2 linked regions of the Bombyx mori genome follow. The protein of the gene in region 1 purifies or fractionates together with the protein of each later gene. This does not show direct contact. Links are inferred from orthologs where the notes say so. Each region holds a gene or a part of one and is shown on either strand. Other genes may lie near its edges.

Evidence for each region. The genes of interacting proteins can lie anywhere in the genome.
Region 2: the proteins of BAG family molecular chaperone regulator 2 (region 1) and protein lingerer purify together in Homo sapiens (affinity purification with mass spectrometry; 3 studies listed by BioGRID and IntAct, with this or other methods). This does not show direct contact. The link is inferred for Bombyx mori from reciprocal best matches to the Homo sapiens genes BAG2 and UBAP2.

The regions. Positions count from the first base shown.
Region 1 is NC_085125.1:2,380,946-2,385,122, reverse strand, and holds the start of BAG family molecular chaperone regulator 2, read right to left. Parts: upstream 2,909-4,177; 5' UTR 2,702-2,908; coding exon 2,598-2,701; exon of another isoform or gene 2,304-2,597; coding exon of another isoform or gene 2,299-2,303; intron 1-2,298. UniProt on the Homo sapiens protein: Co-chaperone for HSP70 and HSC70 chaperone proteins. Acts as a nucleotide-exchange factor (NEF) promoting the release of ADP from the HSP70 and HSC70 proteins thereby triggering client/substrate protein release.
Region 2 is NC_085134.1:1,867,777-1,871,433, reverse strand, and holds part of protein lingerer, read right to left. Parts: intron 3,553-3,657; coding exon 3,445-3,552; intron 2,450-3,444; coding exon 2,365-2,449; intron 1,542-2,364; coding exon 1,420-1,541; intron 514-1,419; coding exon 415-513; intron 108-414; coding exon 21-107; intron 1-20. UniProt on the Homo sapiens protein: Recruits the ubiquitination machinery to RNA polymerase II for polyubiquitination, removal and degradation, when the transcription-coupled nucleotide excision repair (TC-NER) machinery fails to resolve DNA damage. May promote the degradation of ANXA2.

The sequences.
Region 1 (4,177 bases):
ACCCTTCAAACGGAAACGCATTACTGCTTCACAACAGAAATAGGCAGGGTGGTGGTACCTACCCGTGCGGACTCACAAGAGGTCCTACCCCCAGTAATGACGCAAATTATAATTTTGCGGGTTAGATTTTTATTACACGATGTTATTCCTTCACCATGGAAGTCAATCGTGAACATTTGTTAAGTACGTATTGAAAAATTGGTACCCGCCTGCAGGATTCGAACACTGATGTATCGCGAGATACGAATGCACCGAACGTCTTATCCTTTAGGCCACGACTTCATGTCTTCTTCGGTCAACCACTTCCCCTTTTGCCTTGCACTACCATTTTCATACATCTCAAAGTCACATGCATCTCCTCTCTATGCATCACATGTCCATACCACCCTAACTGTCCGCTCTTTAATTTATCAATCACTGGGGCTACATTCACACATGTCTTCATTTAGATATCTACCGCATGCACTCCTCTTTCATGTTTTATTATGGATAATGACAGACAATGACAATTACAGAAAATGAAGAGATAAACTGAATTAGAAAATCAAGGTGAAGAAGGTGAAATAAGAACACTATAGAAAAATACCCCAATATATGCAGATAGATATATTCGGCATTAACAAAAGGAAATATATATCGACGCTTGAAAGGCAAAAGTGACTAAGCGACAATAACTGCTTTGTACATAAATGAAAGGCAATAACCATTTTCGATGTGCAAAAAATATATATTTCTAGGTCTATTAAAATCATTTCAATCCTACTGCTACTAGCTAGATTCTACTACAGCTGGTTTCGTTAAAATAAATTTTGTTTTCAGGTATTTTAACTTTAAATTAGTCTACTGTAAAGTTCACGCATTGTCGCTTAGTCACGTTTGCCTTTCAAGCGTCGATATGCATATAAGCTCTTAACCGAATGTTGGTAATGTGTCTGGTGTGAATTAAAAAAAAAAAAAAGCAGTCCTATTTCTTAAATACATTTACTAACAACACACATACATGTGATTATGTAATAGAGAACTGTACAATTAATTGCTTACAAAGAACCAGGAAGGAGAATGTTGAATGATTTATTTCAATTAAAACAGTTCAAAGTATGAAGGTCACTTTTATGCATCCAAAGACATGTGAAAACAAAGGTATTGTTTCATTTATTTTATTTTCTGTATAGTTCAACCAAATCATAAACTATGACATTAGCAACACAATTAAAACGAAGAAACTGGCTGGTCACAATAAATCCAGCAAGCTTGTCTACATGACTTAAGACTATACAAAACTTTCAAACTAAAATATACTTATCAATTAAAATTTCAAACTCTTATGACAAAGTGACCACCTTCATTCAAATTAAAATGTCTATAGGTCCCGGTAACCACTTAACACCGGATGGGCCATGAGTTACTCATTCATTATCATAAGAGGGTCTAACTTTTTGAAACAGGAAGCCTGTAGACAATAATATATTCCCCTTATTTCTTCACTCAGTGAGATATAGAATAGTAACTGACCATATCGATGCAAGAAAGCAGAATTGTCGTAACTTGAAAAACCCGACCTTATACCGGAGCCATAAAACTATTTCAAAAATTCATAACTCATTTTATATATTTATAGAGATATAATGTTCAAAATTGGTATGAAATTGGATGAAATAAAGGTGAATGAAAAATTTTATTATAGGAAAACGAAACTACAGAAGCAGTATTTTTTTTATACAAGAAAATCCAGAATGCAAAAGCAAGTTACGACATTTCCACTTTCTACCGTCAATATCATTACTAGTTACCTGGAAAAGGCAATTTTTATTGATAATACTGCTAACCTTACGTTTTTTATTACAAGCTGAATATGTTGCAATGGTAGATATAGGTAAAGCTGTAGTAGTCCTGTGTGGGCTAACAATACACCAGTGAAATTTACACAGGGCACAGGAGAAGGATTGATTTATAAAGGTAAAATATCAAAATATATATTACAAATAAGTTATGGGAAGAACCGATTAGCAGAAAAAAGAACTTGGGCAGTCTACTGATATCTTGTAGTAATCACGTTGTAGGATCTGACTCTTCACCCAACACAACATAAACTAAATATTGCTGCTGCTAGTAACAATGATAATATATTACAAATATAAAAGTGAAATACTCTGATTAAGAAATTAATGAGACAAAAATGAGAACTTTAAAACCTCACACTTTTTGGTATTATAACATTCATTTATACTATTTTTATTTTCTAGCGTTTCGTATGAAAATAAATATATCGGAGATGTTGAAATCAATAATGTAACATACCTCATTAATGACTACAATTAATCATAACTTCTTTGTAGTTGTCACGAATGCGTACGTCGTCACGTAATTCCAATTAGATTACTATAATTATAAGCACGAAGCTCCAATCACCTTATACGGCTAACAATATGACTAACAAAATAGTAATCTTGGTAAAATAATAATTTATTATAGTTTCAACAAGGCTTGTGGCGTGGGCGACCGCAAAAGTTTCGGCCGATACCATTTTTGGCTTTCGAAAAGTTTGAGTACCTACAAGCACCTTTTATGAACGATTTTATTCGGTCGAAAAACCATACCTGTCTTTCGGCGCCTGCGTTCCTAGAACCGAGGATTCGTCGATGAGGGGTAGTCGTGAACCCTCTGGATACGCAATCTCTAATGCAAATTGATCCACCTCCATAGTTTGAGATGCACTTTCACTAAACCGTCAGTTTTTCTTTGAAAGGTATAAGCTAATCGATCAGCGCTGTTAACAAGCTCAAAACAAAGTCTTTACAATTTTCTTTGACGTCAATATTCAACTACCGCACTGCAAACTTCCAAAACAAAATCGAACTCGACTGACGTTTCTTGATTCTTGACGAATGTTTAACTAAGACTGGCAAACGGAACAAAGCCATACAACCTACGTGTTGAGGATTAAGGCAAAGCTGTCTGGGCAAAAAAATTATTCAATATTCCTGTCAAAAATGTGGAACCAATTCTATAAATAAATAAATACCCGACTGCACGCGACTCTGATAAAGCTGCTTTTAATTGAAGGATAATGGTAATTAAGCCTGGAAACTGCGTAAGGATATGATGTGAATGTGAATTTGATGGGAATGTGAGGCGAAAAGAAGTGTGATTTTTTTCTTTGTTAATTTAGTTTTTCGTCAGGTTTAAACGTGTAGTGATCATATATAATCTACTTAATATTTAAGAGCAGTTATGGTGGCATATTAGCCGTTTACTATCTGTGAAAATGTGGAAAAAATGGGATAAAAAATTCTGAAAATGGCTTCTTTAGTTCTTCCCAGAAATTTGAGATTAGCGCTCAGTAAATTTCTACCGTGTTGCTGGGAAACCATGAGTAATTGAGGAATAAATATATACGACAATGGCAACGTGATGCAAGAAGCCGATTGTCATGCTAAAACAACTAAGAGGATTCCAATCTACCTTACCTTATCTAGAATATGTGGTGTCTAAAAAGGCCACTACCACATCTCGGTAGAAAGACTTCAATCTATTTGGAGGAATTCGAAAAAGAAAATAAATAATGCCAGATCACATTGCCAAATGGAAGGATGAAGACAACGTAGGTACATCTTAAAGGCTTATAAAAAAACTGATTGAGACAAAATAAAATACACATTGTAGTTAAGCATGTTTCATTAAAAATACCCTATATGAAACGTCTTTAAGTATATAAAACATTACATTAGCTACACTATGCACTGTATTAGCTATGAACCTAGTGTTAAATGCTATTAGATTACTTTGTCCGAATAAAGAAAACGAGATAATTTAGGACAATTAAAAGAAATAGATTATGTGATAGTATTACAGAAACGAAGACATAGATAAATTAAATAATAACATTATTAAACATATTACGTTAGTTAGTAGTAAGTTAGAAGTCGTCGTGGCCTAAAGGATAAGACGTCTGGTGCATTCGTATCCGGTGCACCGGTGTTCGAATCCCGCACCACTACCAATTTTTTTAATGTACTTAACAAATGTTCACGATTGACTTCCACGGTGAAGGAATAACATCGTGTAATAAAAATCAAAAACGCAAAATTATAATTTGCGTAATTACTGGTGGTGGGACCTCTTGTCAGTCCGCGCGTGTATGTACCACCACCCTGTCTATTTCTGCCGTGAAGCAATA
Region 2 (3,657 bases), on another chromosome or scaffold:
AAAAGCTGCAGATATCTCACCGTGGGATACACTCCGTATTGGTATGTGGTGGGAGGCGGTTGGTACGCGAAGTACGCGTATCCCGGAGGTAGAGCGGCTGCCGGGACCTGGAACAAAATTTACTGTTATAGAGAAATCTATACATATATATAAATAAAATTAGAGTGTCTGTTTGTAATATTGACATAACCGCTTTTTCCTTTTTTTATTGCTTAAATGGGTAGACGAGCTCACAGCTCACCTGATGTAAGTGGTTACTGGAGCCCATGGACATCTACAACGTAAATGCCGCCACCCACCTTGAGATATAAGTTGTAAGATCTCAGTATAATTACAATATTACACGATATTATCCATGGCAACATTATAATTTGACGGGAGCAATTAGCAGAGTTGTAATGAGGGCTTGCGTACCTGCTGCGGGGAGGCGGCGTCGGTGCGCCCGAACCTGTCGCCCGCGCTGAGTCCGAAGGCGCCGTCCCGGGCTCCGTAGCCCACCTCGTAGTAGCCGCCCTGGGACAACAACACAACGTTACGTCGCTTTGTGTCACAGCACTCGCGTTTAGCTGCTTCTATAGAATCAGGTTTATAGCACGCGAGCGCACATCCAACGCGGCACCTCATACGAATATCAAGGGATCAGTATGCTTAGTGCGAGTTTTTTAACGTTCTCGATAGCGTAAAAGTGAGCAAAATTTTATATGCAGTCGGAAAAGCGCCCCTAGCGGCAAACGAAGGCAAACAATCCCATTCCATACAAATATGAGCTAACTTTTACACTATCGAGAACGTTAAAAAACTCGCACTAAGCACACATTTTTTTGTGGTAAGTTATTTCGCGTGGGAGGTTGCTCATGCGATGGACCGACCAAATCAAGTCGGCTGCAGTTGGTGGCATTACATCTACCCACAGCAATGATACTGAATGATGACCTCGACCGCTCTGACAAGTGATACGACAAAGAAGGGTACAATATACTAGCGGCCCGGTCCGGTTCTGCTCGGGTCTTTAACAAAAATTTCAACGATATTTGACGTAGTTTTATTATTTTTAAATAAAAGAACACTTATTGAGGCATAATTATAATAGTTAGACATATGCTGTCGCTGTGTTTGTGTAAATAATAATGTGTTCTACAAAGTCATAGTACATTATTTTATTTTATCATCAATAGTTTTCGCAGGGCACGCGAAGTTAAGAATATTTTAGGTAATTTTTTTACACCTTGGGTTACATTAATGGAGTTTTAGTAAAGATCCCTATTTTTTTCAAAAAAGATGTAGCTTCAATACAAACAAACAATTAAATCTTTCCTCTTTATAATATTAGTATAGATAAAGCAATTCGTTGTCACCAAAATATCTGTGTCTAACTCATCAGCTAGCCACCTGTGATTCTCAGTGAACAAATAGTATTACCATATGGTGCGGATGCGTGGACCTCATGAGCTGGTCGTCGTACGCGGCGTAGGGGGTAGTGGTGGCCCCGCTGTACAACGCTCCTCCTGCGTACGCGCCCCCCACTCCTGCCGCGGCTCCTACTGCAGTAATAAACAAAATACACATTTATAAATTATTGAGCAGCAAGACTTCGAAATTATTTAGAATGACGGGATGACGAATGAACTTTTTACATCGTTTCTACTGGCAGGTCTCTACTGCAGGGACCCAACATCAGTCCCCAGAAAACTGTTACAACATTTTTCGTCTTCAAATGTTAATCAAATCAAAACAAATCCAATCAAACTTTATTAGCTATAAAACACAGTTTACAAAGTTGTTGATAGTTATTTTTATTTTATAGAACAACGTGTTTCTACCAGGTCGGCATGCAAATATTATTCAAAATTATTTACATTAAATGCAGTCAGTAAATATATTTTAATTAATTAAAATATCAAACAACAATATACATTAATTGAATTAGAATTAGTTATTTATGTCATAAAACGAAAACAAAGAACAAAAAGTAGCAAAGTTAAAATTAACATAATGATTTATCATTTAAAAAATTGTTAACTGTACAATAAAATCTTAAGGTTCATAAGGTAAGGTAAGGTTAGAATTCCTTGTCGGTTCGCAAACTTATCTTCAGTTATATTGAACTGGCCGTAGGACGTCTTGTCTGTTTGCACGGGTAGGTACCATTACCCTGCCTATTTCAGCCGTGAAGCGGTAATGCTTTTCGGTTTAAAAGATGGAGAATCCATTGTTAAAACGGAGACTTTAGAACTCATATCTCAAGGTGTCTCAAGGCGGCATTTACGTTGCAGATGTCTATGGGCTCCAGTAACCGGTTAACATTAGACGGGCCGTGAGCTCATCTACCTAGCTAATAAACACTCTAACAACAGTGGCTTGTACCTGTAGTCGTCGTAATCTTGGCTGTCGACGTCTGCGTGGTGGACGTACTCGTCAAACTGTTGCTCGACGCTACTGAGTTGTCATACTGAAAATTAACAAATTTTTATATGAAACTAGCCTACCCAGCGAACTTTGTTCCGCCTTAGAGGCATAAATGAGCAGATTTTTTATTTTATCAAGGCCAGTTTTTTATTTGGATAATTAGTGTAAATTAATAAAGCAAGTATTTTAATAATTCTTTATTGGCCATGTATTTGAGTTGTTGTTATTATTATTATATTTTTATTTCTTGTCCTTCTTCAGTCTTTTCACTCTCAATGTTTCGAATCCTAGTTGCATTACGGTTTCGTCGGAAAAGATTTGTCAATATCTATGGGCTCCAGTAACCACTTGACTCCAGGTGGATTGGGAGCTAGTTCACCCATCCAAACAATAAAAAACTCAACACTGGGTGGGCTATGATTTCATTACCATCTAAACAATAAAAGCCCTTCCCTTTCTAATCGGCACGCACTACCATCACACCGGTACAAGCTCGGCCGAGCATTCACCAGAGGTATTGCTACTTAGCAATGTACCTCTTGAGTTTTATTTTTTTATTTTTTTATTGCTTAGACGGATGGACGAGCTCACAGCGTGGGCTGTGAGCTGTGAGCTGGTGTTAACTGGTTACTGGAGCCCATAAACATCTACAATGTAAACGCGCTACCCGCCTTGAGATATAAGTTCTATGATCTCAGTACAGTTACAACAGCTGCCCTACCCCTCAGACCGAAACGCATTACTGGTTCACAGCAGAAATAGGCAGGGTGGTGGTACCTACCCGTGCGGACTCACAAGAGGGCCTACCACCAGTAATTACGAAAATTATAATTTTTGCGGGTTTAATTTTTATTACACGATGTTATTCCTTCACCGTGGAAGTCAATCGTGAACATTTGTTGAGTACGTATTTCATTAGAAAAATTGGTACCCGCCTGGGATTCGAACACCGGTGCATCGCTCAACACGAATGCAGCGGACGTCTTATCTATTAGGTCACGACGAATTTTGATACAAGTAATATAAAGTGGTACGGACCTGATGCTCTTTGGGTTGGATCTTAGGTTGTGCCGGTGGCTGGTAGGCGGTGTACGGAGCCGCAGTGTACAGCGCGCTGCCGCCGTACACCGCGCCCGACGACGATGTCTGAAACGTTTTGTATGAACATTTGTAATTGACACATATTCAACTATCCAAATTACTAGTGGTCGCCCGGTAGTCGAAATTCGACTATAATTTATTGAAATTAAA